Linked DNA regions of Diceros bicornis minor. The protein of the gene in region 2 purifies or fractionates together with the protein of the main gene of each other region. This does not show direct contact. Links are inferred from orthologs where the notes say so. Each region holds a gene or a part of one and is shown on either strand. Other genes may lie near its edges. The genes, in order: SETD1A, BOD1L1 and CXXC1.

Region 1 (10,376 bases), on a different chromosome or scaffold from region 2:
ATAGGGAAATGGGAATCCTGCAAGGAAACAAGACAGAGGATCAAATGGCCAACTGAGGGGTGAAGAACAGAGGACTCCAAGGATGGAGTCCCTGGCCTTGTCACTCCCCTTAATTGTTGAGAAACTGAGGTATCACACTGGGGACAGCACTGCCATGCTACACAATGTCTAGGAATACAGAATGATAGGTATAGCAGCTAAACCTGTCTTTACTTCATCCTTCAAGAAGTGAATACCCCTGCTTGGAAGACCTCCCCTACACCCTTCTAGAAGATAAACATACCTCCTATCCAGAACAAGTCAGTCTCACAGCCTCAGAGACAGTCAGATCTGGCTGTGATCCTTTCATTGGAAAACTCCCTTTTATTAGGCTACATTAAGACTAGACTGCCAGGATGGATCCTCCACACCCTCCAAGGGCCACGACACCAGCAGGCTAGCAGACACATACCTTAAACTTAGGGACTGGGAGGGAAAAGTCTCTGTTTTTGGACCTGACATGGCAACGGGGATCTTGGAGGTCTTCGACTGGTATATACTTTGAGTCCTAGGAAGGAAAGCAAGAACAGAAAGATAGGTCATGGTGAAACCACGTTATTGAGCTCTAGGAAGCCCAACTGGAGACCCATATGCAAACGAGAAGAGCTGTGGGTGCCCACTTTTAAGAATGCACGCTATAGGCATGGTTGTTTTAGGTGTTGAACAGAGGTAACAGAGGAGAATGGGGCCTGGAGTGCCCTGGAAGGCAAGGAAAGGCCTGGGGCACTCACGTTGACACTGAAGTGGACTCCATCATAGCGGTACACCTTTTGAGACGGTCTGCGCAAGGCAGGGTCCAAGGCAGGATCCACGATGAGCTTATAGTTCCGCCACTGAAAGCTCGGGGCCTTCTGCCCATCTCCCCCACCTTCCTGATCCATCTTTGCTCATTTACACTGTTAGAAAAGAGGAATACACAGGGGTGTTCAAGACTTAGGCCTGACTCCCTTGCTGCCCCTTACCGACTAGCCCAGACTCCAGATTCTCTGATCACCCCAGTTTCCACACCTCACCATGACCCGTGGCTCCCCCAGATTTTCCCCCAAGTACCCTGTTTCCCACAACACCTCATTCTCTCTCCACCTCCCAACTCTCCCCTCAGGCCCCCAAGCCCATCTCGCGCCCCCTTACCTTCCCGCTCTCCCTAGCGCGCGCCCCACTTGGCCTCCGCGCAAGACCCTTCCCCCGCCCCCTGGCAGGCCCCGCCCCCTCCCGCCTCCTCACCGGCCAGCGGCCCGGGCCAAGCCCGGGTCCCGCTCCCACACACCCGCTCTCGTCCCCGCGCCCCGATCTTCTGGCCAAGAGGTGGCACCTCTTCGGGGCGTTGGAAACACCGCGAGACCGAGCCCGAGACCCGGCTGCGGCCCCGAATCGGGGCGGGGGGGTGGTGAAGGGAACGCGCGCCGCTGCCCTCTCCTCCCGCCCCGGCGCGTTCTGCCCCCCCCATCTCCGCGCACGCGCGGCGCGGCCCCACTCACCCGCTCGTGGCGAGCGGTTCCCCCTCCCCCCACCCCGCGCGGCACCTTAGCGGCGCGAGGCGGCGGCGGCGGCGGCGGCGGCGGCAGCGCGAGACCCGGCCCCGCAGCGGTGGCGGCGGCGGCGCCCCCCCCCCCACCACCTCCCCGGCGCGCGCACCAAACACCACCGCCACCTGCGCGAGGCCCAACGGGCACAGCGTCTACATTCGCACTTTCGCCACGGGTGCCGCCGGGAGACCCACGGGGCCGAGGATAGCGGCTTCGCCTCGACCGGTGCCCTATAAGGCTTGCGAGTTGCGGCCCAGGGAGCCTGAAGATTGGCCGCATCCCCCGGAGAGTGGGCTTCACCACGACTATCCAGCTGCTCTGGACTGGGGTCCTTGACGAATCGGCGGCGACGAAAGCAGCGACTAATCCCTGAGGAAAAGGGGGCGGGGCGGAGGGGAAGAGGCCAGCCAGAGCTGGGGAGATTTGACTGGCGCGTTGAACAGGCGCAGATTCGTCAAGCGGGCGGGGCGAATCGGTGGACAGGATGCGCGCTCCTTTGCTCGTCTTTCCGGCCCCTTCCTCGGGCGGCCAAAGGTCTAAGAGGCTGCAGATTCGCCACAAGTCCTGGCCTCAGCTGTCGCCTCCCTTCACCCGCGTTGATGGAGTCAAGAAAATAACGGCTGGTTAGCCAAGCCCTGTTGGCAGAGTTGGCCAATTTCTCTGGATCTTTCTTACTAGCACAACTCAGAGGACTGCCCAATTCCGACCCGGGGGAAATGGCTACGGCCCAAAGGTCCTCTCGGAGTCCGATGAGAATTTTTCGGCGGAGTATAGAAGGCCCCGAGCAATTCTGAGGAGGAGCCGGCCTAGCGAATTTGTGAATTCTTCTGTGGGCGGGGCCAAGGCACAGCGCGCAGAGGGCGTGGTCAGCGTGCGGAGCCCGGTGTCGTGCGGGCGCTTCCTGTAGGACCCACTGAAACCGGGGCGGGCTGGGAGGGGCGCCCGGGAGGTGGAAAAATACAACCAGCAGCGGTGACTCAGGCCGTTTGCCCGGCGCTGCACATAATGCAGGGAGCGTTTTCCTCCCGTTATCCCCCTTGGGCCTCTAGCTGTCTAAGGTGCCCATTTGACAGATGGGGAGACTGAGCCTCGCAGAAGATACCGCATTTTGCACGTACTGGGCCTACTATTAGTGATTAAATCCGAGGCTATCTCAAAGCTCTGTGGTAAACTTGATGGGGCCTAAAGACCCTTGAACGGGTCCTGTAAAAAATAATAAACTAGGTCCTACAGGAACTAGGGTGGGCTGGTCGATTCTCCAGGCATCGTGGTCCCAGTGCCCGCCGTTTTCAGCCGTGTGCCCCCTATGTTTACGCGGTCCCACCGCTCGAGGGCAGCACCAGCCCAGGCTTACACCTGGGACCCTGGGGCTGAAGTCGCCCTGATGCTGGGCACCCTTTTTCTCCGTTTTGGAAGCAGGGTATCCTGGTCTCTAGGTAATGGCATTCCCAGGAGGCACCTCTGCCTGAGCTGAAGATGCCCTGGGTTCCAGACATCTCTGCGTCAGTCCCTCGCTGTGTGACCTTGGGCAAGTCATTAACCTCCCAAAGCTTCAGATTCTTTCTCTGAAAATGAATGTTAATTCCTGTCCTGCAGGTCTATTGTAGGCATCAGAACAGTGCAGGAAAGGCCCTTGAAGCCTGGTTCATGCAAATTCACCATTTTAAGTAATAGGAAAAGAAAAAAAGGAGGACTTGCCCAAGATCTCACACCATAAGAATAGAAGAGAGAGGATTGGGACCCTTTAAAATTTTGAAGAAAATGAGGCTGAAAAAATAAATTTGCATGGAAGCATGGGTGATGAGATCAGATGCCTTTCTCTTGTCCCAGCTGAAAGGTATTTGCTCCTTTTCTCAAACAGACTTCATGTGACAGTAAAGGTAGTCCAGGTTTTCATTGACTAGTTGTGTGGCTTTGGGCAGAATCCTCAGCCTTCTTGGGTCTCAGCTTCCTTATCTCTGAAATGGTAATGATAAAGACTTGTCTCTTGAGGTGGTTGTTAAATAAAATAAATTAGGTACGTTAAAAAAGATAACCTATGAAAAGCTCCTAGTAAGTAGTAGTCACTCAAGAAAGAAACTTAAACTAAAAGAAACATATTAAATCCTCAATGGAAGAGATAAAAGATCCTGGGCTCAAGGACAAGAGGCAAAAGCCTTTAGCCTTAGAGTAATGCGGTCTCCACATTCAGAAGCTACTGGTCCCTGTCAGCACCAGAAGGGAGTCATACCTGGTACCCTCTCTCTCCCACCCCCAGGTACACTTGCCTCCATCTGACTCTTAAGGAACAAGTCACCTGACCCCAAGGAGGCCTCCCGTTCACCCCATTCACAGCCACAGGGACATCTGTGAAACACAATTTATTATACAAAACAAGGTGCATCAAAAATTCAGTGTCAGAAGAGCTCTGTATTTCAAGGACTAGGGACTGGACCTTCTCCCTTAAAACCTCCTCACCCCAACCCCTGCTAGGGAGTCAGGCTGGACACGTAGACCCCCAGCCCTGGTCCAGGAGAGTGAGAACCAGATATAGAAGCGTAAGTGTGGGTCTAGGGCAGTGGGGCAGGCACTTGAACCTCCCAAAATAGGGAGGCTCTTCCTGGACCTATGCCTGGGGTAAAAACACCCAAATCTCTCTCTACAGCAACTAAAGCAAGAGTGTAAAACCCATCAAAATCTGAGGATGGGGAAAACTTCCCCAGAAATGCCAACCATAAAACAGATTCTACAAAAATAAAGCAAGAGTTGGCTGCCTTCTGGGGCAGCTGGGTGGGCGTGTAACCTTCTGACCTCCACATCCTGTATAGCGGCGAGTGGATAAGGGTCAGCACCAAAGGTCTGACCAGGGTCTCCTTGCCCTCCCCTCCGCCTACCGCAGTGGCCTCGGACTGAGGCCCTCCACCTCCTCCCAGCCCAGCTGTAGAGTAGAACTTAGAAAACCTATAGGACCGACTGATGGAGAATCCCTGGGAATGTGGGAGCTGCCCCAAGGCCCAGCCCAAAGGACCCTGAGAGCAGAAATCTGGTCTCTACCTGAGAGTGGCCACAGGAAGTGTCTCCAGGCAGGGGCAGGGATGGGGTCTGCAGACCCCTGAGGGAGGCAGTGCTTGCAGCTGGGGCTCACACCAGCGTCACACAGCCTGCAGCTCCCCCTGCAGGCGACTTAGCTCCTCTAGCTCTTGCTTGTGGCGGTCTGTCTTGTGTGCCACCAAAGAGCGGTAGAAATGCAGGGCGAAGGCCACGAACACAAGCCCTACAGGTACCATGATTGCCGTGGAGGCCATGGCTGCTTGCCAGCCTGGTCCATGGGCCCCGCCCCCACCACACACTTGCCGGGGTGGGCAGGCCTCAGATGGCTCAGCCTGTGACGGGGCTAGAGAAGCAGAGGACGGCTTGGAAGCTGGACTAAGGGAACTGGTCACTGATGGCAGAGTCCCAGGCACCTGGGAGGCAGGTACCACAGGGGCTGGCGTGCCCAAGGGGGCCCCAATGGGCACAAACTTGACCCAGCCAACCAGGACAACTTCAGCGAGGAAGAGGAAAGTGCCCAAGGCAGTGGAGAAGCCCCAGGCCAGCTCCACGTAACGGTGGAGTCGCTGGTGTGGAGACTGGTGGACAGAGTTGAGGTTGTGGATGTTGCTAACGGCTTCAATGTGGGGCAGCAGACACGTGGAGACCATGAGTGCAAAGAGGTGCACCGCTACTAGCACGGTGGTGCAGGCACTAAAGGCCACCAGCAGGCCTGGTGGGTAGTCGTGGTTGCTCTCCAGTTGCACCTCCACCATGGCCACCTGTGGGGACAAGAGGAAATAGATTGAGTGCCCATAACCTCCTCAACAGTACAGGAGTTTTTGCCTGTTGGTATACATCACTGATGTATCCCTAGGACCTAGAACACTGCCTGGCAGAAAGAAGGCACCTAGCCTTTGTTGAGCGAGTGAATGGGCAGCACTGCCAAGGCTCTGTCCTGTTCTGGGCCTTGGTTTCCACACTAGGCTATCAAGAGGGCTGGATGACATTTCTGACAATCTTACCTTGTTATAACACAGGGGTTAAAAAGCACAGATTCTGGGGCTGGGCTGCCTGGGTTCATTCTCAGCTCCACAAGCTATGTAATCCTGAGCAAGTGACTTAGTTGTCTCTGTGCCTCAATTTCCTCATCTGAAAAATGGGGACTGATAATAGCATCTACCTGCCTTATAGGGTTGTTGTGAAAATTAAATGAGATAATATACATCAAGTGATAAGAATAGCACAAGGCACATAGCAAGCACCGTTTGCTGTTATTATTTAGAGTGGACTCTGAAAGTCCAAGGCCAGAGTTTGCACACTGGCACACCGTGAACCCAAGCCAGCTTACAGACATGTTTTGCTTGGCTCATGCAGTGTGTTTTTTAAAGAATTAAGTTGCCAACTTTTAAAACTCAAGAGATTTCATATAAATATGCCTATTTCCAGATCCTCTTGAAAATTTGCAAGATCTGGTTACACCAGGCCCACATTCCTGCATGGCAACTATCAGCTAGAGTTGTCATGGCTGCTCCCTTTGAACAGGCCATGGGGTCTCTTGATAGCCACAGGCCCCACCCAGCCAACTTGCTGTCCATATTACCTGCCTGGCCTTTGCAAACATTTAAGTTGATGATCCTGTTCTAGGCTTGTATAAATTTGGACTCTAGAGCCAAGTTCAAATCCTGCCACCTCCTTGCTGTGGGACCCTGGGCAGGTGTCTTAACATCTCTGATCCTCAGTTTTCTCATCTGTAAAATGGCCATAGTAGAGGTTCCTACTTCATAAGATAATAGAAAGATGATGTACATAAAAGCCCTAAGTACAATGCCTGGTACTTAGTGACAGTTCAATACAACTTATATAGTGTTATTCTAACCTAAGCCACCTGGATCTTTCCCCACGCCTGGTTCTTGCAGGATCCATTCGATTGCTCTGGGCCTGGGAGAAGGAAGGTGCAGAGCCTGGAGGGTGGTAGTAGGAAGACAAGGCTGAGTATTTTGGGAAACTGGGCCATGGCGGGTGTCAGCAGGTGGTTTCCATAGACAGGGATCTGGGCCAGGCCTAGTCCTGGTTTCTCCCAGAGCTTGACCCAGCCTTGCACTCCCTTGGCAGGACTGGGGCCAGTCCTGCCCCCAGAACTTACTCATCTGGCCTCTTGATCCTGCAGAGAAGGTCCTGGTCCTTAAGCTGTTGCCCCAGCAACCTGCAAGTCCAGTAGCAGGCCGGATTGTGCCCTTGGGAACAGGCTGGACCATGGGGTAAATGGGGGTGGGGGACTCCCTCAGCTAGGTCCACGGGGCTGTTCCCTTCTCTCTGCAGTCTGTACAGGGGAAGGGGAGTCAACTCCCTGTCCCTCGATGACCCCACATCAGGAAGAGTGGGCTGGCCTGTGGATCCTGGGCTCCCACACAGAAAACCATAGACTTAAGATGACCCTAAGGGATAGAGACTTTCTCTCTCATCGTTCAAGTACAGAGACTGTGGCACAGAGAGGGACGAGGGACTAACCAAATCACCTAGTGCTATGATCCCTCTATCCTCATCTGGACCACCCCCAACCCCTGCAGGAGCTTGTTCCTATGAGGACCCCCCTCCAGCCCACTTTCTCCTTCTTCCTGTCATGATGGTGGGGAAACACTGGACTAACAGTCCAGTGACCCTGGGTCCTATTCCATTCTATATCCTTCATCTGCTGAGTGCTCTTGGCAGAGCCACTGCCCCATTCTGTGCCTTGGTTTCCATGCCTGTCCAATTATCAGGTAGTCTGAGCCATCTCTGATGTGTGTCTTGCTCTGACATGCTTGGATCTAGGGTTTGATGACAAGAATCACAGCTCATCCTGGGGTGGGCACTTGGCAGGCTACAGAGGGCGCACCCTCTGTGATCTCACAATTTCCCACTGGCCTGCAAGGGGGTGGAGGCCTGTCCAGAGTCACATAGCTGGCCACAAGCAGGGAGGAGCCAGGACTCGTGCCTGCTGACTACTCCTCACCCTAGGACCTCCCTCAATCCCACTTCCTAGGAGGCCTCTGCTGGGACTATTAGCTGATATCATCCGCCCACACCTGCAGTTTATCAGCTTAAGAATCATGTATCAGCTTCCTAATCAGTTTCTTTCCCTAGCCGCTTCCTTTCTTTTCAAAGCCTCCCTGGGCTATGCTAAGCCTTCTTTGTGCCTGCTGGGTACTAGCTGCCCTCCTTGAGATGGGCCCACCTTCAGTTGGGTGACCTTTCCGCCCAGCTTACCCTCTCTGACCACCCCCAGCCCTAGTCCTGTTTATACAGCCCCCACCCAGCTCTGATTTCCCTTTGAATCTCTCATGGGGACCTAGTAATCACTTCTGCCTGGGCTAAGCTCCTTTTGGACCTCTTTGTCCCATCTTTGCATATGTTATCCCCTTTGGTGATTTGTCTACCCCCATGACATGACTTGTGTCCCCCATGAAACTTCTGTGACTTGCTTATCCCTATGGCCCATTCTACTAGAGATCTGCTTACATACAAATACACACCCCCCACTCCCCAAAAAGGGACTTGTATAGTCCCTTGGACCTTGTTTGTTCTCTTCTTTTACCTTAGAACCCCATCTTTTCCTTGCCTCTGTCCTCTCTCCCTTGAGTATCCGTTCACTTCGCCAACGGCTCCGTGCCCCCCATGTGCCTCACCCCCACCCTGTGCGCCCCTTCCCTCCCCTCACCATGGCGAAGCCCGAGAGCAGGGCAGACGTGCGGCTGGAGGCTTTGAGCTTGGCCCGGCTGAGGTAGAGGCGGCGCCAGCTGAGCGCCCGCAGCGAGTGCTGACTGGCCCCCATGAGGTCCAAGTAGCCGCGGTGCACGAACTCTCGGTACGTGGCCGAGCCCGCGGGGCTCTCGGCCTCCGGGTTCAGCGGGGCCTGTTCGCCCGCGTCCCCCTTGCCGCCCCTCATTCTCGGGGCCGCAGCACCAGGCGGGCTGGGTGGTCACGGTGGGGCCGAGTCTCCTCGGGGGCCCCAGCAGGGCCGGCCCAGGCCGGGGAAAGGCCCCATACCCCGGCGGGGCGAGCGAGGATGCGGGCGGCGGGCGCCCAAGAAAAGGCAGCCAGGGCGGAGCAGGAAGAGCAGGCGTTGGCGGAGAACCCCAGGAGCCGAAACGGTACAGCAAAGACCGAAACAGGAACTAGGGCGGAGGCGGAGCCGGGCGACCACATGATGGGGTGGAGCCGAGGGACCGTCCGCAGAGATCCCAAGGGACCCTGCGACCCCAGTCCACCCAGGATCTCATCCAGGTGCCCGAGTCTTGCTGAGATGAACGCCCAGTCCCAGCCAGTGACTGGAAGTTCCCGGGCCCTGGACCATTCGAGGTACACCTGGACACCCCTAGATGTCCAAACCCCCACCTAAATACTGAATTCAGAGGTGAGCCCATTCATCCGCAGGGACCGCAGAAGGCCCTGTATCCTCAGTTCCGAGAAGCCTAGGAGGTCCGAAGCCCCCCGGATCCATCCAAACAGCCCCCTCCTCCGAGAGCCCCGAAAGGTGAGCACTCCGGTCATCTCCGCCCTACCGCCCCCCGCCGCCCGCCCCCAACGCCGCAGAAAGACACACGAACTCGGCGGCCCCGGCTAGAAGATTTTGAGTTTTATAGCAAACCGTATTGTACAGACCCGGGGCCCAGGGGCCCAGCCCGGCTGGGTCCCCCACTTATCCCCCGCAGGGCTGCCTCCTCCCTCTCCCCTAAGCGGCCCCATCCTCAAGCCTTTCGCGATCCCCAGGACCCCCTCCCCTCCGGCCTTTGGTCCGCCCAGTCCCTCCCCCCTACCCGCGCACCTCCCTGTTACCTGAGGTATGTGGAAAGATCACCCCTCCCCTACATGGTACAACCCGGCTCCCCGGGGAGGCCTGGGCTGAGGGACGGGACCAGGCCCCGACTCCTCCCCCTGGCTCCCCAAACCCCACTCCCTCACTGGAGGAAGGGGCAAGGGGAGGGCCAAGTGAGTCTGTTACTAAGTCCCATGGCAACTAAGAGGGGCCATTTCTAGCCTTAGCACTGGCTTTGGGAGGTGTCCATTGGCTGCTATTTCCATGGCAACCAGGAGTGGCAGTTCCCTAGGCAAATGGGATACAAGTTTCCATAACGATGAAAGACTGGGAGGAGCCAAGCTGGAGGAGTCCCATTTTCCCCATCACTGGGCGGGCACCCCACCCCACCTCAGGTCAGGAGGTGTCGGGCTGCTCAATACAGTAAAGCAAGAGAGACCCTGGGGGTGGTGCAGTCCAAACTGGGTGCCCACCGGTCCAATCAGTCCCAGCTGGTCCCGTCCCCTCACATTCGGGCTCCCCCAGGTCCGAGGTTCCCCCGGTTCAAGTAACACTTCAGTACAGATGAATGTTCAAGTATTGTGTGGGGAGGCAAGTAGGGGGCTGGGGTACCCCCCACCACTCCCCTGGGCCCAGCGGGCAGGCCCACGGCCCCCACTCCTCACAATAGCTGCCATTGTCAATGACGTTCAAAGAGTCAAGGTTAGGGGGAAGGAACTGACATCTGGGGAGGAAGTAAGGAGAGGGGTGACCCCCTGAGGGGTACTACTGCCCCCCCACCTGCTCTTGCCCCCCACCCCTTGCTCAGTCCTGGTTTTCCCCTGGTCCCCCGAGTCCCCCCGCCTCTGATACTTGGATCCCCAATTGCTCCTCTGGTTTCCCTTTTTGGACCCCCCTCCCCACCCCCCAACTCCAAGTATCTGGTCTTTGTTCCCTGAACCCTTGATGGTCTGCTTTCTGCCCCCCTCCCCAGCCCATCCTCCACCTCCCCCAGTCCCCTGGCT
Region 2 (10,337 bases):
GGTCTCTACTGGGAATGCTCAGCCCCAGAGAGTTGCCTGGCTCCTTCAGTTCCTTCAGTGATGCCTCAAATATCACCTTATTGAAATCTTTCCTGAACAACTTACTCAAAACAAGTCAGCAATCCTTTCCACCCTCATCCTGCTTTATTTCTTCCAAGGGTCGTATCACACATTATTTATTGTCTCTTTGTCTCCGCTGGGATGCAAGCGCCACAACACCCAGGGACTTTTTGTTCACTGCTGTTTCCCTGGCACCTAAAACAGTGCCTGGTACAGAATACATATTTGTTGGGTGAATAAAGTTATATACCTCTGTCTTTGATATTCCTTTTGAATCTAAAATGAGAAAAAAGGACAATAATTACAGTGACTAGGAGCCATTTTTAACTGAGAAAGTATCCAAAAATTGGCCTTTATTACATGAGGAGAGAGGTGCCATATTTACTTGGAAGGTGAGCTCCCTGCCTAGGACAGAATAATGGGCCTCTCTTCATCTTCCCTCCTCACTCTCCGGTTGCTAATCAGTGCAAAGGCATCAGAATGGCTTTGTAACCTCTCGGCTTGCTCCACGCATCTGGGAACTGGTAGTCTAGAGCAGAGGAGCCTCAGCATTAGGTGGATCTTGGGGCTGCCCAAGGTTCCAACTCTTTGGGTAGAAAGGCTGAATTGGTCTGCTACCATAGGATCTCTCTTGGTTGGTTATGGACCATCAATGACCCCATAACAGTTCGGGGGTTCTATGTCTCCTGGAGTGGTGGAAGACTTTGGTGCTTCTCATCTTGCTTTAAACACACTGGACTGGATGATAGTTTTATTCTTGGAAAGAACCTGATAGGTATTAAATGTCTCATTTCTTAAATATGCACATAACTGACAATCCAGTTACTGCCACAACCCTGTATACTATATACTACAGGTCAGAGTTTGACATAAAGCAAGTCAGTCTTCAGGGTTCAATTATCAAAAGCACCATACCACAAAAGGTCTAAACTGTAAGGTGTTCTTAAGAGCTGACACCCAAGGATTCCATTAAAGTGATGCTCCTGTGCACAAATAGGAAATCTTATTTCTACTCTGGCCCACTCATCACAATGATAGGAATGTTAAGCTTATATGAAAAAAAACTTTGGTTTTTGTATGTTTCTTGAGACTCTCAAACTTACTCTTTTTTTTTAGATAAGGAAAAGGAGTATAAAGCACTACTCAACAAAAGCAAATATTTTAAACTGAAATCTACGTAATTGCTAGCTAAGAGGACGAAAAGCAGGAGGAGAAGGAGGAGGAAAAAGGAGATAGTCAACGGGGAAAGAAGCAAGAAAATCAGAAACAACAGGTGCAGAGGTAGAAAGACGAGAGAGAGACAGAGAGACAGAGAGAGAGACGGAGACAGAGAGAGAGAGAGAGAGAGAGAGAGCGAGCACACATGAAGAGTGAGGAGAGAACTTCAATCTCAACCATACCCAGGCACCCCCTTCTGTCAGGGTGGGGGTATCCTTTCAGTTCTGTTCTTCTCTAGCCTCAAACATTAAAACAAGGAATCTTTATTCTGCGGTCCCTGAATTCCCTGAAACTATAAGGTTGAATCACATGAAATTGCCTATAGTTGACCATTTTTGAATTATAAAAACAGCATTTTAATGTGTATATGTGCATTCTTCTTGGGAGAAGGTCCTAGCTTTCATCAGATTGTCAAAGCAATTGTGCTTCCCTCCTTCCTCCCAAGAAAGGTTCGAAGGCTCCACCTTGAGAGGATCTGGCACACAACAACAACATTTAGTGGGGATGGGGATGAAGAAAAAGTTGAACCTTAGATACTGCAGCACCCCCATCAGTATATTTAAATTTTCAATTTGCATATACAGTGATAACAGAGATCTGTAGGTTTCTGAGAACAGCAAAATGAAATCTTTACTTGCCCGATACAAATAACCAGGTGTATTTGGGTAATATTTACCTGGCCACATCTAATCTAATCTTCCATTAAAAAAAAAAGAAAGAGGCAACAAGCCTCTTTATTTTCCAAAAGTTATTTTCAAAAAGGTAGCTGTGCATATTCTCTAAAACAAAGTGAGAAAACTATATACTTCCTACACAGATCAACATCCCCATGTAAAATGAATTCTCCGTGTGCAAAAACTCCAACATGCTGAAAAGGCAAATTTTACTTCTGTTCTACATGGTGGGCCAGAGTCCTTAAAAGGGAAGATGTCCCCAGATTGTCAGGAGGGCTTTCCCAGAGGAGACAGCGGGATTTTGTGCAGTTCACCTCAAAGCCTGGTGAACACAGTCACAGGGAAGAATCGGCGTATGTTGCAAACAACCCTTTCCCAAAGAAACAAGTCTCCTCAGAACAGCCGAACATGCTACAAGGAAACTCTCACCCCATCAAAACTCCAATTCCATGGATCCAACCAGATCTAAACCAAAAACACCCCCACTTTTCCAACTGTTTCCACCTGAAGCTTCCTGCTTCACTTGCTTCCAGAATTCCAGACCCTACTGGTTTTCCATCCAATTCACCTGATGGCTTCTTCCTGGTGTCCTCTGCTCATTCTTTGCCAAACCAGCTAAGTTTACCTGTTTCTGCCAACATCCCTCTCACTCTGACATTTGGTACAAAGTCCCTTTCCCTTCCCAGTCCCTAACTCGTTTTGTGAAGGGAACCACTTTGCTGACCTTTCCCCTCTCTCCCTTACTCTCTCAACTCACTCTTCTTCCATTTCATGTCCTGTCCTTTCTCCACTTCAATATCTGCTATCACCTCTCCTCCATCCTTTCCCCCACGGCATGGCTCAGTTGTCTCTACTCCTCACCTCTCCCTCCCTTCTCACTTTAGAGGAGTAACTTGGCCTAAGCTACCTAAACGAAGCGGTTACTGGTAGAAACAAAAGTCCCGGATCTCCCCAACCCATCTTGCCACTGTCCAGCTCTGCCTCCCTACCTTTGCATCCCTACAATGTCCAGAAATGCACATTGCAAATCTGACTCAATTATCACTTAATAATTCCTCCAAAGAATAAAGACATGACCCTTACCGCCCAGAAATCTTCAAGAGAGGAGGCAAAAATAACTTGGATACAAACTAAACCGGGAAGAAAACTAATCAGAGATGAAAGCACCGTTAGCGTTGGTGTTTCCAAACGAGTCTCCATGGGAACAACGACTTGGTCCTGCTCAGCGGTAGGTTCCCAGCGCCTCGGCAGCGTAGTAGGTGCTCACCACTAGTCGGTTAAGCGAACGGGCGCACAGGCGAATGAATGAACGCACCGCGCCTTGCACAGCGCCGGGCACAGGGCAGCAGCGCGAAGAGGAAGCGGCTGCACGGGGGACTCGGGGAGAGGCGCGCTGGAGAGGGGCCCCGGCCGGGAAGTCGAGGCGCAGCCGGCCCATCGACGGGCGCGGGAGACCGCTCGAGCAGGCGGCCCTCGGGGTCCTCCCCTTCCCCCGCACACCCGCAGCCCCGCGCGCCCGAACCTTGGTGTCCACGTCGGCCAGGCAGTCCCTGCGGAACTGGTCGAAGAGCCCCTGGCTCTTGAGGTGGTTCACGATCATGGCCACGAGCTGCGGGTCCCCGCCGCCGGCCCCCGCGCCGCCTGCCCCGCCCGCGCCGGGACCAGCCCCGGGGCCCGGTGGTGGCGGCGGCGGCTGCGGCTGCGGCGGGGGAGGCGGCGGCGCCGGAGGAGGCGGCTGCGGCTGCGGGTTGGTGGCCATGGCGGCCTGGGGCCGGGGAGGGCGCGGGCGGGCGCTCCTGGGAGGCGGCGGCTGCACAGGTCCCGCCGCCTAAGGGAAGCCAACGGGATGTTGTTACGGAACCAGCGGATCCAGAGCAACCCCGGAAGTGAAAGGGAACCGGGGGAAGGGAGGAAAAGGAGGTGACAATAGCAACGAAGGTCCGGCGACGGGAGCCGCGAGGGGCCATTTCCGGCCGCCGCCGGGCGCCGGCGCCCTCGCGCGGCCGGGCTGCGTCGGAAGCGACGGGGAGGAGGCGGAGCGCGCCGTGGGCCGCGGGGTCTGGGCCGGGGCGGGGGCCTGGAGTCCAAGGCGGTGGGGCGTTCGACCCGCGCGACTGCCCTGGCGGGAGGGCCGACTGGGCGCCTGCTCGGAGCAGGCCCCGGCGGGGGAGGGAGGCGCTGGCCCGTTCGATCCACGGTGGCATTTAGGCCTGACGCGCTCTCTCCTGTTTCCCGCAGCAGTTGAGACCCATAGATTTGAGAATGCGAACCGTGCGTGGAACTGCTTATCCTAAGCTCTCCCAACCCTTTTCGTTCTCAGGCTATGATCCTGCCCAGATTTCTTCTAAGCAGGGAGCTTCGGGGGCCTCCTGTATCTCTTCTCCCAGCCCCATCCTGTTTTTCCTTAGGCATCTGTTATTACTCTCCAAGTGTGCCTGCTGACTAGAACCCCATCCCTCCAGCACCTTCTTCCTGCCGGTGAACACAAACCCATGGGTTTTTAGTTGTAAGGGTTTTTCTATTTGATAATGTTGGGGAAAGAGGGAGAATCCCCCTCTGCCCTTTCCCTTAGGTTCTTATGGCTGGCCAAATAATTAACAAGACAGGTTAGCAGGAGAAAATAATACCAATTTTAATAACATGTAAACATGGGAGAAACCAGGGACACTGCGTTTCTCAACACAATAGCAGAAATTCTTGTCTTAAATATCATCTTTTGCTAAAGACAGGAGGATTTTGGGGGCCGGGGGAGTCAGTTACAGGAGATTACCGCTAAAGCACAGTAAACAAGAGTAAGGTTATCATGCAGATTTAAGGCCTCACCTTCCACATTGATAAGTTTCTAGAAATGAGGTCATCCCCCCTCTTCCCAATACAGAGAGGGAGATACCTTTACAAATGGAGATTTCCCTTATAAATGTAAATGTTTGTCTGGCAGCTCCTCACAGGGCCATCCAGAGAATGTGGCCAGAGAGACAGAACTTCTGATAAGATGGGCTTGTTGGTGCCTTTTCTATTCTAACATCTATTTTACATTATATTACAGCCATCAGATAGAAAATCTGTTCCAGGAAGGAGTTATTATGTCAAATTCTTTAGGCAGTTACTGGGGGAGGTCAAATGTCCCTCAGAGAAAACAATCAAGGTAAAGAGATATATTTCAGGGTGGCCAAATCTTGATCTCCCACAATAATAACAGGTCACACATACAGCGCACACTATGTGCCAGGCGTGGCGTTAAGAGCTTTTACGTGCATTAACGCATTCAGTCATTGGAACAACACTGCACCTAGGGCCTACTACTGCTGTCCCCCATTTGCAAAGCAGGAAACTGAAGCCCAGAGAGATTAAAGATATTGCTGAAGGTTACATAGCAAATCACCTGATTCTGGACTGAGTTATCTTTAAAATGTCACTAGTACACGATCAAAGCAAAATAAATATTACAAATTTTCATAATTATTAAATAGAATGTAGAACTTACTGGAAAATGCATCTCTTGGTGGAATGGATATTATTGCTTTTTAAAATTCATATGTCTCTGAATGAATATGTCTTATTGCTAGAACAAGAAGAGTTGAGTATCAATTCTATTCCTGTTTCTAGTTTTTATAACTATGCCCTGAGAAATTGTGTTCTTATAAACAAGTGCTGTACTTGGGAACAGAGTTTTAATGTAGTAATGCCACTCAATTCTTGATCTCAAAAAATTAGATTTGATGATCTGTAAGCTGATTATTCAATTAGGCCCTCCTTCAATTTTGTGGAGAGCAAAGGATTGAAAACTACCTAACTTGTCAAAGGGTTTGTTAACCTAGTCCTTTATTTTCATTTTTTCAGTTTCTGGGAAATATGCCAAACAGGCTTTATCAAGACATCAAATGACTGAATTAGACCTGTTTTTTTGTTGTTGTTGTTGTTGTTGTTTTTTCCAATGAGATGTACCCTGTTTGACCTGACATACTCAATAGTTTGGGAAAAATCTAAACATTGTTCATTTTCATAAATGGTTTTGAATAAAATGCATTTTTATTGTTATTAGGTGGTTCAATTCGTTTTTGTCAAAACTTTTCAGCTAATGGTACAGCTCATTCAAGTTGAAACTGTTTGTCAAGTATGGAAAATGTTTGTCATATAACCTAGTTAACAGAGCCCATTTTCACCATCAAACTAGCCAAATCAGATTTACTTTCCATCAGAAACAGTTGGACTTCATTGTTTCAATTCAAATAAAGTGTCATGCGTTTTGAGGAGTATAATGAAGACTGCAGAGAGACAGTCATGGAGTGAAACTTAAAAAATGTATTACTAAAAGCCATCAAGATTAAAATGGTGTAAGATATAATTGTTTTATCCATTTTCAAAATTAGTTATGAACACAAGATGAGGCTATGACATGTTTCCGTTTACCTGATTACCAACAATGCAATACAATATGTTGCTAAATTGTATAAGTTATTTATTGTGTGTAGCATGGTAATTCTTTGGTGTATACAAATGTATCAAATTTATCTGGTTTTTGGGGAATAAATAAAGAAGAATCATCCATAAAAATTCAGCAAAACTCCACAAATTTAATTAAGCATGATGATCAAATTAAAAAAAAATGAAACAATAAGGTATTTGTTGCTAAAAATGAATTGGTTCAGTGACTAGAAAATAGTTTTGTGTTTTGTGGGTAGCATATAGACAATCCTAAATATTTTCTGAAATATAATAAGGTGAAAATTGCTTATAACTTAAATAGATAATTCACAATTGATTTTATAAAATGTATAGTAACTGCCTCATTGAATAACAGTGTGATGATGAATTGTAATTAGTATTTGGGTGGTGAACATGGTGTAATCTATGCAGAAATAGAAGTGTAATGATGTACACCTGAAAATTAAAAAAAATAACAAAAAAATATAAGACACTCAGGCACATTTAAAAAAAATTATAGAATCATTTTGTAATACCTGCCATCTTTGAACACTGATTCCTGTCACCTGTAGATATTTTATTTTGCCCCATTATTCATGTTTTATTATGACATTTTCTTCTAGTAGGATATGCACGTTTATTCTTAAATGTATTTCCAAAGCACAATATATCATTTGCTTCAGTCATGGATGGAATTTTTTTCCATTAGGTTTCAGTAAATGTTATTATTAATATATATTTAGTATTTTGTATAATATTACAATGATGAATAAAAGCTTACCAAGCATAAAAAAAAAAGAATAACACACTGAATCTAAAAGAAATAACAATATTTGTATCCATGGGGTCAAATTACTCTGGATACAGTGGATACAGTGTAACTTGAACAATTTTATAGCCTTGGAAAACATTCTAGTTACATTGAGAAGAATCAGGGTCACTGATCTCTACTGCTTTGGCTGTTCTAAGGTGATTTTCTTTCCACTTGAAGACAGGTCCTGGGGATGAATATTGTGAATACCTGAGGGGATAATGGCATACGTTTAAATCTTAAAAAAAAAAAAAAAAAAAAAAGCTGTTTTATGCAGTCATCATTTCCTACCAATGACTTCTTTGCTTTGTTATGTCCTCTGACTGTTTCTTTAGAGAGAGTAATATAATATTTGATAATAGTGAGGGTGTGAGTGAGATGAGCTCTTCAAAAAAAACTGCCAGTGCTCCGCTACCCACTGTGTGAACGTCTGAATTCAGAGTCTCCCAACAAGGATCAAAAATTTTCTCCCTGAACATGATTGAGCTCTCATTTGGTTTCCCAAGTCTGACGCTAAGGTGATGGTTAAACAAACTTTATAAAACCTTTAGGAATGAGTGGAACAATGGTCGGGTATTATGGCGGTCATTACTGGCAGCCATCTGTGTCCTCGGGCACCAGACTCCTCCCAAGTACCTGGCTCCTGATTTCCTCTCTTTTCTACAGTCCAGCCTGCCCCCTATTCACCCCTATCCAATGCAGACCTTGTTTCTGGTGGCTGATCCAGTGAAAGTTAAGCATCGGTTTAGATATGATGATCTCCTATCCCCAGGGAGCCCAGGGGCTTTTTAGGCAGAGTTGTTTGTTTCCTTTCCCTCACATCCCCAGGGCATCTCCACTCCAGGGCATCTCCATTCCAAACCAGGCCCTAGGCCTTGCCTTTCATAATCAAAAGACTAGTGAATGTTATTTTCTAAATGACTTTCTCTCCCAAAGCCAAGTAGAAACCTTGCAAGTTCCCTTTTTCAGTGATAACAGAACACATTGTTAGGCGAGGTTCAAAGCACCCCATTAACAGTTTCTGTAAGAGGAAGGGGAGAGGAGAAGATGTATCATTTGCCTTTCCAAAGCAAACTCCATGGTCACAGCTATTCGTCTATTTCTACTGCAGTATAAAATAGCTGATGAGGGTGGAAACGGTGGTGGGCAGAGCATGATAAAATGTTAATGTAAGACGGGGGATGGCTTTTTCTCCTGAAAAAACTTAAAAGAATTGTCACTTGGGGCCAGGCCCGTGGCTTAGCGGTTAAGTGCGCGCGCTCCGCTGCTGGCGGCCTGGGTTCGGATCCCGGGTGCGCCCCGACGCACTGCTTCTCTGGCCATGTTGAGGCTGCGTCCCACATACAGCAACTAGCAGGATGTGCAACTATGACATACAACTATCTACTGGGGCTTTGGGGAAAAAAAAGGAGGAGGATTGGCAATAGATGTTAGCTCAGAGACGGCCTTCCTCAGCAAAAAGAGGAGGATTAGCATGGATATTAGCTCAGGGCTGATCTTCCTCACAAAAGAAAAAAAAAAAAGGTACAAACTTCCAGTTATAAGGTAAATCAGTACTAGGGATGTAATGTACAACATGATGACTATAGTTAACACTGATGTACGATACATAGGATAGTTGTTAAGAGAGTAAATCTTAAGAGTTCTCATCACAAGGAGAAATTTTTTCCCTTTTTTCCTTCTTTTCTTTTTATTATATCTATATGAGAAGATAGATGTTAGCTGAACCTATTGCGGTAATCATTTCATAATATATGTAAATCAAACTATCATGTTCTATACCTCAAACTTATACAATGATGTATGTTAATTATTTTGCAATAAAACTGGAAAAAAGTTGGGAAAAATCATTATGTTGTACACTTTAAACTAATGTTATATCAATAATATCTTGATCAAACTGGGGGAAAATTTTAAAAATTTAAAAAAAGATTTAAACTTCTAGTAGCGATAGCAATCAGATTTACAAAAGTAAGATTTATTATGAGGTTAAGTAGCCAGTGTCTCTAAATGTTACTGAGTTGCTGGCTATTTTGACAATTGGGATGGCACCATAGCAGATGGCTGGAAATAAAAGATATTCCTTTATAGGCTTATAAAGATGAAAAGGAGCTTTGCATTTAGAAGAGTTAATCTTCAAGCACATTATTTTTATTTAAAAAACAGCCTTAATGTGTGTGTGTTTCCTGAATGTTCTAGATGGTACATGGTACCCTGAAAACGAATAAGAGTCACACTTCCCAGAATGAAATTAGGAAAAGTAGAAATGAAAAGAAGATCTATGGAAATGATGTGGTGTTGTCTGAATACCCTAAATCCAATCCAGTCTTCTGGGTAGAAATTCTGAGAGGGATGAGAAAATAGTGATTATAACCAAGAAATTGTATACCTAAGTAATGAGAATAATCTACCTCTGAATAGGGAATCTTTTCAGAGGGGAAATGGCTAGCATAGCATTTACCAAAGGGAGGGATCCAAAGTATCTAGAATTGGGATGGTCTCTACGGAGAGCATGCATTTGCTATTAGGCGCCAGCCATTAAAATCATCTAATTCATTCCTCTTCTGATCTGTGATCATTAGACAACCTTTGGATCATATTTGGCTTCACATTTGGGTTTGCCTATAGGAAGAAAAAGTGTTGTTCAGCAAATATAGGAAGCTCTCCACTTGGTGGTTATATCTCTTCCTATGAATCTTTTTTTTGCAGAAGGCTCTAAAAACTTGGTTAAGTGTGAAACCACTTGGGATTCAGATCCATTCTTTGTGTACTGATGTTCTTCTGACCTTGTGAGACTGAAGGCAGGGCCTCACACTGTGGTGAACAAATTGAAGTATTGCTGTGGAGACCAGTCTGAGTGGCCAGCTGGCTTATCTCAGGTAACACTGAATTTTATTGACCGTGTTTTAAGTTCAAATGGCAATGATTACACTGGTAACTCAAGTTCCTTGTAGAAAATGTGGGAAAAAAAAGAAGTTTATTGACAACAATAGTCTAGAGATAAGCCCCTGATCCAAGTTGCACCGATTAGAACAGTCCTTGGGATTTTTGAAGGTAATTGGTGTCCCTCTCTGGTGTCTACACTGTAAGCAGATGTCTGGAGGGAGTAGTCAACCATCAGATCCTCTGCCATGTGGATAGTGCCAGTC
Region 3 (9,344 bases), on a different chromosome or scaffold from region 2:
GTGCTCCTCAGCAATGCAGGGGCTCTGCTGCCACTGCTGGATGCGCTGGGGGAGGATCTCGTAGATGCGGCTGCAGGGAGGCAGTGGGTTGGGTGTGGGCAGGTGGCAAACAACAAGATGAGTAAGTGGGATAACCCAAGGATGGCAGAATGGATAGGTGACTAAATGGTGAAAGGATAAGTAGATAGCTGACTGAGTGGTAGATGGATGAGCTGAATGGTGGATGGAAGGGTGAACAGATAGATGGATGAGTGAGTGAATGGATAAGTGGGTGCCTAGTTGACTAAATGGGACAGGTGACTGGCAGACATACAGAAGGCTCTGGTCATGCCCTACCCCGTACTCCCTGTGTCCCTTGAACCCCCCAGGAATGACTCACTTGGCTGCCAGCTTCATGCCACAGTCGTCTGAACAATACTTGGAGCCAGGCTGGGCAGGGCGCACACAGCCAGGCCCCAGGCACTGCGGTAGCGATGCAGGGTCCTTGGCATCAGCACGCTCCGGGTGTTTCCATTTGTCCTTGTGCTTCTGCTTTTGCCGATGCCGCTTGTATCTCTCCTCTTTCTATGGGACAAGGCAGTTCAGGTCAGGGTGGAGTTGAAGTCTGCCCCAGACCCATCTCCCCCTGCATTCCACCCCTTCCTGGCTCTTGCCCCATGCGGCCCCTAGCCTTTGCCTCTCCCTCCCCACCCTACCCTCTGCCTTCCCACACCCATTTCACCCTCTCCATCACCTTCTTCTCAGACTTCTTCTCCCGACGCTTCACATGCTTCACTTTCACTGCCCTCTTCCGCAGTGCGGGATCCAGGAATGGGGACTCCTCTGTGTCGCTCATCCAGGGCTGCAGGTGAGGCAGACACTGGCCCATCTGTACCACCCATGACTACCCCACCAACTATTTAGTTCCCAAATCAGCCTTCCACATCCTCTGCCTTCTCTCTTCTCATTATGGATACTCTCTACTTCTGTAACCTCTACCCTTCCACCACGGGACCCTGCCTGCTCACCAGGCCATGGTCATCAAAGGCCCCTGCACAGAAGTCCTGGTATAGGTCAGGGTCCAGTGGTAGGTCTTCATCTGAGAGTGGCTCAGGCGTGGCCGTAGCCTCAGGTGGCTCCTTGACTGCTGCTGATGCCACTGCCCCCTCATCCTCACGGATGCGCCCTGGTTTCTGTGATGGCTGTGGCTGCTGCTGTGTGGGCAGTGGCCGACGAGGCCTTGGCAGGGACTCTGAGGGTGTCACTGGCGAGAGCTGCAGGGCAGAATCTCAGGACTGGCCCTGACTGCCCTGCCCACATGCCCTGCCCCGCTCTGGGAGGCTGGACTCACCGAAGAAGGGAAGTACTTGTACGATTCCTGTGCCGGCAGGAGGAAGGCCCAGGTCAGCCCCAGGTAGATGGAGGGTGGCCCTGCCCTAGCCCCTCCCACAAGTGCTTGGCCCCACCAACTAGCCCTGCCTTGCTTCCCCAGACACACCTGCCCCTTCTCCCCTCATCACCAGGACATGCTCAGCCCTGCCCTCCCTGCCCTGACATGTCTGATCACCTAGAAACATCTGGCCCTATCTTGCCCACCTGGGTTTGGGGGGCTCCCCTGCTGGCCCAGCACACCTGGTCAGGCCCCATTCATCTGGACAGGCCAGGCTCCTTCCCACCTGTCTGTATGCAATTAGGCCCCACCCCACCCGGCCCACCCATTTTAGCTCTTCCTGGACACACTGGCCCCCTCCACCCCACCTGACCCTGCCCAACTCCACCCAGGCTCACCCGGGCCCGTAGCTGGCACTGACGCAGCCGGCACTTCTGCCGGATCTTGTTGGGGCCCCCAAATTTCTTCATGTCCCGGCAGAAGTCGCAGTGGCCACAGTCCTCAGTGCGCCGGCAGGCCTCGCACTCACCACACATGCGGGCTGACCGTTTGATTTGCTGTTGCTGCTGGTGATGCTGGGGGGAGGGACCCAGAACAGAAATCAGGAACTCAAGTAGGACCTGAGGTGGGATCACCTTATCTATCCCAGCCACTGCAGCCACTCACCTGGCTGGGTGTGGCCACCAAGGGCTGTGGAGATGATTTGTGGGGCGAAGCAGAGCCCCGAGCAAGCATGGCCCCAACCCCTGTCCCTGACCCCGCCCGGCGCTGCAGGTCCGGATCCGGGGCAGGCCTCTTGCGCCCTCCACCCTCATCCCGGGGCTCACTGCCGTCTCGCTCATTGCTGTCCCGCTCGCGTGACTTCTTGTGCCGATAGCGGATCTCCAGCTTGGGGTCTTTCTCTATGGAGCAGAGCGGGGAGCCGGGGGGTGACATTGGAGGATTTCGATGGTCCCAGAACTCTTCTTCCTCTTCTCTCCTTTTCTGTCCCACCCACCTGCTCTGTCCCCCTAGTCCAGGGCAGAACTGCCCCCTCTGGTGGGACCCTCCATTATGGCTCACAATGGAGCCTTCACTTTAGCTCACAACAGACCAACACTCACTCTGCCCAAGAACATATATCACTACTCCCCACGACCCACCCTCCCATTATGGCTCCTCCTTCTCCCTGGAAGTCCCACTTGCCTGCCCTGTCCTTTCCACCCCCCTCACCTCGGCACTCCCGACAGTACCACTCGCGGATGGCCTTGGCCATCTTCTCAGTGATCCGGATGCAGTCCCCATGGAACCACTCATTGCAGTTGTCACACCCGCTGCAGAGGATGGGGCGAGTGGTGGAGATATGAGGGGCCGGACCTATGGCCTTGCCCAACCTTGACAGGTGTCAGCCCCGCCCACCTCTCCCCGGCTCACATCATGAAGCAGTTGATGTCCGGTTTGCGGCAGATGCAGTAGATGGGCGCATTCTCCCCATTCTCCGACTTGCTGTCCTCCCCAGCATCTGGAGGCTCTGGGTCTGAACCATCCCCCTCCTGTGGGAAGTCCCCCATTATGGCTCCTTAGAGAACGCCCATCATAGTGTCTCATTCCTCCATTACAGCTCCGCCATGGCGCACCACAGACCCCAACACTCTGCCAACAGACCTCCTATCATAGCTCCTCACAAACCTCTCCATCACGGTCTCCACAGACCTCCCCCACCACTCACCCCTGACACCCCGTTACTCTGCTAATAAACGCCATCACTCTGCCCCAGATCTCCCATTACTTAGCCGGCTAACACCCCATCACTCTATCCACACACTCATAAGGGCTCATTACACTCTACCACTCACCACATATTGCCCCCAAAATGGCTCCTCACAGACCCCACCACAGGTTGTCAGACACCAACGTGATTTACTCACTTCCCAACACAGCTCTCCACAGATCTCCCGTTATTAACCCCACTGACAACCCTGCCCCCATCCCGGTTCCCTACGGATCCCCTAATACACTCATCATGGCTCACTACTGAGTGCCCAATACGGCTCGTCGCAAACCCCTTATCACTTTGCCTAAAGAAGCCCCATCTGGGGCCCCCCGGAACTACAATCAGGGATCCCCACTAAACTTCCATTCCGGATCCCCACATGGCTCATCACAGAACTCCCAGACTCCCACAAAACTCACACAGCAGAAAAAAAATCAGGCCATCAGTCCCCCATCATACTACCCACAGACCCCTGCTGAGGCTCACCACAGGCCGCACCATTCTGCCCACAGACTCCTGTTACGGTTCCCCACAGACCCCCGTGAGTCTGCCGACGGACCCCACCATTACCAACCCGACTGACCTCTACTGCCGACCCCCTCCCCGGACCCGTACTCACCATCTCTCAGCTCCCGGGGCACCGCCTCGCGACCCCCGCCAGCGACCCGCGAACCCACACAGACTACTGGGCAGCGTCCGCAGCCGTTGCAAAGGCGCCCACAGCTACTTCCGCCTCTGGTCGCGCCTCCCGGGCACCGTACTCCTATTGCGCAGGCCCGGTGCGTCGGCTTCAACGACAAACAAGTAGGTCCCCCTCCTAGAGCCCCGCCTGTCCCTCAGGCGCCGCCATCTTGACTACTGATACTGTATGGCATCCGAGTCCATACATTCGCAGGAAACATGGCCGCGCCTATAACGCTGCTTTCCCAAGGGCGCCGCCACCTTGTCGGTAGAGTCCGTACGGTGACTGCTTTACGGCCCGGACGTTACAGGCAATATGGCCGCGCCAACGCGAATTCTACGAGGACGCCGCCATCTTGGAATCTGGTTCCGTAAAATGGCCTAGTCTGTACGGTCAGAGGCAATACATGGCAGCGTCCTAATCGTGGCTTCCTCGAGGGCCCCGCCATCTTGGTGGTTGATTCCGTACGCCGGCAGCTTGCACTGCCCAGTTCACAGGGAAAGCGACCGATCCCGAAATACTATCTCGATCAAGTCGTATTCATTCCGCTATTCAATCACTTTTCCCTTCCACATGTATTAATGGGGCGCCAGAAGACTGTGTGCCTTGCGCTGCGAAGGAAACCAGTCCACCTGTTAGATCTCCGACACCACCTCCCGCCACTCTTTCCCACTCTCCTTGCAGTTGCTCAGCCAGGCCTAGCACGGTTCAGCCTCTGGGCCTTTGCAGGAACACTCTCATCCCTCAGAATTAGTCCCGAGCGACGAAAGAAGGCCAGACGCGATCGTGGCCTGATCACCTCTGGTGAGAGAAGTGGCCAGAACAAAGTAGATTTTGAAATCAGGGACAATCGTCTTCACCAACCTCTCCCCTGATCCTGCCACCAGCAGAGTGTAGATTTGTCTTGTTCCTGGTGATGTCCAGTTTGGTTCTCTTGTTTCATACAAATTCAGTATTCAATATTCTCTCCAATAAAGTTAATTTAAAATTATTTTAAAGAACTTAAATTGTGTACAATAAAAAAAGTCGGGGAGGGGAGAGCCTGGGTGGCTTAGTGGTTAAGTTCCACATGCTCCCCATCAGTGGCCAGGGTTCAGTTCTCAGGCCAGGACATACACCATTTGTCTGTCAGTGCCATGCTGGGGCTGCTGCTCACATACAAAAAAAAAAAAGGAGGAAGATTTGCAGCTGATGTTAGCTAAGGGGGAATCTTCCTCAGCAAAAAAAAAAAAGTCTGTACAGGTCAGAGAGCTAGATATCTCTGCAGGATAATGATCTAACCTGGGCGACCATGGAGGTCAAATGAGATACATGTTAGCGTTATTTTATGTGCACTTATTTTATATGCAACACTTATTTCCTAGATATGGGAATCATGGTCATAGTAAATGTCCACATGTCCATGTTCAAAGTGAGAACGACTGTATTTATTTTGGGTTGAGGAGAGGATTCTGGGGAGAATGAGATGTTTCACCCGTGGCTAACAGTTTTTCTAGATTTCTTGGTTCTGGACACTGTAGCAACTTATTTGTTACTGATGATTTTGCTGCTCGTGGCTTAGGAGGTCCGATTTTTTTTCCTCACCTTTCCTAAACATTTTTCTTTCCCATCCCTTCCACACCATCACAGACGTCAAGACACATGGGCAGCAACAAAGGTTCTGTGATCTTCTCCTCTTAAAAGGGGTTTTTAATCCAGAAAACAGAGACCTTCAGATCCAGCATGACTTCTCATTTTTATTTATCAATTAATTTCGAATTAATCTTAATTTGATTGTAATTTATTTTAATTAACATAATTTAATTCTTTAAATTTAGTTTTTCATTTAATGTGTTAAATTAACTCTAGTATAATCAAATTTTTATGTGTTAGTAAGGTACTTAGATAAATTTATTTTCACATCAATTAATGAATTTTATATAATTCAATTTTAATTTAATTAACATTGAGTGTATGAAAATAAGTTTGAGGGAATATAGCTCAAGTTTAACTTAAATTTAATTACTCAAATTTAATTTAACATAATTGAATTTTGACTTATTAAATGTAATTTGGTTTAAATAATTTAATATTTAATTTATTCAACCCTGATGTCATTGTGTATCTTTTAATTTTAATTTATTATATTACATTTTATTTAATATGATTTAGTTTAATTCATTCAATTTAATTTGCCACATTTAAATTTTAATTCAAATTCACTAAACTAAATTTTATAGTCATGTAATTAATTAAATTGATTTAACTAAATTTATATTCAATTACTATATTTTGAAATATAATTTATTAAATTAAATATGATTTATTTAATTAGGAAAAAACAATGAGAAAACATAAATTACCCACATCATGAGTGAAAAAAGAGCCATCAGTACAGATCTTACAGATATTAAAAAGAGACTATTATTCACACATTTATACTAACCTAATACAATTTATTTGACTACTTAGATAAAATAGACAAATTCCTTGAAAAAGGCAGCTTACCAAAACTAACACATGAAGAAATGGAAAATTTGACTAGCCATATCACTATGAAATTATTTCAATTTCTAATTAAAAACCTTCCCACAAAGAAAACTCGAAGCCCAAATAGTTTTTTTTTTAATTTTATTTATTTTATTTTTTTCCCCCAAAGCCCTAGTAGATAGTTGTATGTCATAGCTGCACATCCTTCTAGTTGCTGTATGTGGAACACAGCCTCAGCATGGCCGGACAAGCGGTGTGTCGGTGCGTGCCTGGGATCCGAACACGGGCCACCAGCATCGGAGCACGCGCACTTAACCCCTAAGCCAGGGGGCCGGCCCCCAAATAGTTTTGATAGTAAATTCAAATATTTAAGGAGGAAAAAAGAGCAATCCTATGCAAAGTCTTTGAGGAAATAGAGGAGGAAGGAATACTTCCCAATTCATTTTGGGAATCATTTCCCTGATACCAAAACAGACAAAGACATTACAAGAAAAGAAAATGACAGACCAATATACCCCATGAGCATAGATCCTGCAAAGTTTGAGGAACAGTTTCCAAGAGACCATCTTTACTTCTGAGGCCACTGCAGAATTTAAGGGTTTAAGTTTAAGTTTAAGAGTAAGGAGATCATACCTACTTCTGACACCAATTGCCAGTTTGGGGGTCCCCAACTAACTTGCTAGAAGGACTCACTGAAAGCTGTTATACTCACAGTTATCACAGGGAGAGGATACAGATTAAAATCAGCAGTAAGACAGAGTCCAGGAGGGTTCTAAATTCAGAGCTTCCAGTTATCCTCTCCCAGAGGATTCATGGACAGAGTTAGCTGCTCCCAGTGATGATATGTGACAATATGCATGGAGAATTGTCAACCGGGGAAGCTCACCTGAGCCTTGATGTCTAGAGTCTTTATTGGTGTTCCATTACATAGGCACCATTGACTGCCTGTGTGCCAGAACTCAGTTTCTAGGCCCTCAGGAGGTTGAGTTGATACCATGTGACCCAAATCCCTCACCTTAAATCACCTTATTAGACTATCCAGTGACCAAGAGACCTCCAGGCAAACAAAGATACTCCTGTCGGGTGTGACATTAAAGGGTTTAGAGATTACCTCCCAGAAGCCAGAAGCCGAGGAGGGCAAAGGCCAGGTCTCTCTTTGGACAGGGTTAAATTCTTTACTACACAGATGCAAAAGTCATAACAAAATATTAGCAAATTGAATCCAGCAATTTATAAAAAGGATAATACACCATGAGCAAGTGTATTTATACCAAGAATAACGATCCCAAGAATGCAAAATTGGTTTAATATTTGCAATATTGCAGGGGACTAGTTATACCATGGAACCCTGATGACCTTATATATCTCCACAAAGGCCAAGTAGGCAAAGCTTTATTGCCTTCTAACTGAGCCTTGGTAGAATGCCCTGGACTCCTCCCAAACCAAGGAAGACAAGCACAGGGGAGGAAAAGACATCCTGTGGGCAAGGAGCCAAAGGATGAAAAAGGCTCCTCAGCTGTGCTGGCCAACCTCTGCTGCCTGGCCTCCACTGCCCTCCAGCACTCCTGAAGTTCCCAGCCATAAGGTAACATGATTTCCTGATAGAGTTCCGGCAAAACTCACAGTGAAAAGGAAAAAAAGAGACCATTAAAGAGACCATATGGGTGAGGCCTCTGGCCAATTAATCTACTGTTGTTATAACTTCCTCTGCCAAATGTGTAATGAAATTGATGTGTTATATGCTTGTACTATAAATGCTCATAAACTTCCAGGGGAGATTCTCCCCTTTAGGACAGAGCTACAGGTAGAAAGTGTTATGGGACAAATTCCCCTGCCCTTGCCACCAGTGGGTGGGTCAGGATTTAGTGCGAGTGCTTCTATCCTGATTCCAAAGCTTTCACTAAATAGATAATAACCTGTTGGTTGGCAAGTCAAAGCCTTAGTGTCAGTGACCCAAGGCATTATCATACCTCTGCCCACAGGAGGCTGATAACCGCCCCCCCACCCCAAATTTAGGGGCCTAATGCTAAGTTTTTTGGATTTATGTGCTCACACTGCTCACTCTCTCTGGAGTGAAGAAAAGACTGCTATCTCTTTCCCAGATAGGATGTGGCTCACTAGACAGGGCTTGTTGAGTGCAGTTGACCTAACCCTCTGGTCATCTTGGCTTTAGATGGAAGGGTGGCAGCTACTCTGCTACCACTGTTAAATCTCACTGTCAGCTACCCAGAATCAAAAGCAGGTGTAGTCTCTGTGCTCCGTGGGAAGAATTCAAAAGCCATTTTCATAGCCCCAGCCAACACTCCACTTCATGAACCTGTTGTTTTTTTTACTGACTCTTAGGCTATTTGGTCTCCCATTTAAGAGTACAGACTGACAGAGTAAGACACTCTTCTTTGGGGCTGTGAACTACCTGCTGTTGATCAGACCATCTGGTCACTCATGTAGACGCCCATGGTAAGGGAATATTCTCTGATGAGATCGACTGGAATCAAGCTGCCAATCAAGATGGCACTGCTCAGATCACCACCAGAGACTGCAGTGCATCCACCATCAGGAACTGGGCACAAGGTAAAGAACTCTGTGTTTTTGATGCAGGAGCCACAACTGCACGACAGGTTTGTGATTCTTGACAAAAGTTTCCGTGTGTCTACAGTGAAGGAGACCACATTACATGGAACATTGGCCCCACCTGATCCTGACAGATTGACTACATAGAACTCTTGACTCCACTTTTGGGGAAACCTATAGTAATTCACCGCTCTTGACATTTTCTCAGGTTACAGTGTTATTCAGGTCTAGTCAGCCAACTCTGGCCATACCATTTTGGCTCTTGGAACTAATTGGAATCCTCATGCATTGGTGGGAGTATAAAGTGGTGCAGCTGCTTTGGAAACGAGTTTGGCAGTAAAGTTGCCATTTGACCCGGCAATTCCACTCCTAGACATATACCCAAGATAAATTAAAAACATACGTCCCCACAAAAACTTGTACATCAGTGTTTATAGCAGCAAATAACCAAAAAAGTGGAAACAATCCAAATGTCCATCGACTGACAAACGGAAGAACAA

Evidence for each region.
Region 1: the proteins of BOD1L1 (region 2) and SETD1A purify together in Homo sapiens (affinity purification with mass spectrometry; 3 studies listed by BioGRID and IntAct, with this or other methods). This does not show direct contact. The link is inferred for Diceros bicornis minor from reciprocal best matches to the Homo sapiens genes BOD1L1 and SETD1A.
Region 3: the proteins of BOD1L1 (region 2) and CXXC1 purify together in Homo sapiens (affinity purification with mass spectrometry; 5 studies listed by BioGRID and IntAct, counting the BioPlex papers as one, with this or other methods). This does not show direct contact. The link is inferred for Diceros bicornis minor from reciprocal best matches to the Homo sapiens genes BOD1L1 and CXXC1.

What each region holds. Positions count from the first base shown.
Region 1 is NC_080765.1:21,050,608-21,060,983, forward strand, and holds the start of SETD1A (histone-lysine N-methyltransferase SETD1A), read right to left. Parts: upstream 3,867-10,376; 5' UTR 1,730-3,866; exon of another isoform or gene 1,691-1,729; intron 1,542-1,690; exon of another isoform or gene 1,518-1,541; intron 1,425-1,517; exon of another isoform or gene 1,264-1,424; intron 936-1,263; 5' UTR 921-935; coding exon 771-920; intron 548-770; coding exon 452-547; intron 1-451. Other genes in the region: ORAI3 (protein orai-3), read right to left, coding at 4,697-5,356, 8,275-8,502. UniProt on the Homo sapiens protein: Histone methyltransferase that catalyzes methyl group transfer from S-adenosyl-L-methionine to the epsilon-amino group of 'Lys-4' of histone H3 (H3K4) via a non-processive mechanism.
Region 2 is NC_080747.1:10,456,576-10,466,912, forward strand, and holds the start of BOD1L1 (biorientation of chromosomes in cell division protein 1-like 1), read right to left. Parts: upstream 3,811-10,337; 5' UTR 3,712-3,810; coding exon 3,475-3,711; intron 3,365-3,474; exon of another isoform or gene 3,153-3,364; coding exon of another isoform or gene 3,036-3,152; intron 1-3,035. UniProt on the Homo sapiens protein: Component of the fork protection machinery required to protect stalled/damaged replication forks from uncontrolled DNA2-dependent resection.
Region 3 is NC_080755.1:42,777,291-42,786,634, forward strand, and holds the start of CXXC1 (CXXC-type zinc finger protein 1), read right to left. Parts: upstream 3,876-9,344; 5' UTR 3,745-3,875; coding exon 3,742-3,744; intron 2,902-3,741; coding exon 2,783-2,901; intron 2,683-2,782; coding exon 2,582-2,682; intron 2,272-2,581; coding exon 2,036-2,271; intron 1,945-2,035; coding exon 1,768-1,944; intron 1,358-1,767; coding exon 1,331-1,357; intron 1,254-1,330; coding exon 1,008-1,253; intron 842-1,007; coding exon 734-841; intron 565-733; coding exon 380-564; intron 71-379; coding exon 1-70. UniProt on the Homo sapiens protein: Transcriptional activator that exhibits a unique DNA binding specificity for CpG unmethylated motifs with a preference for CpGG.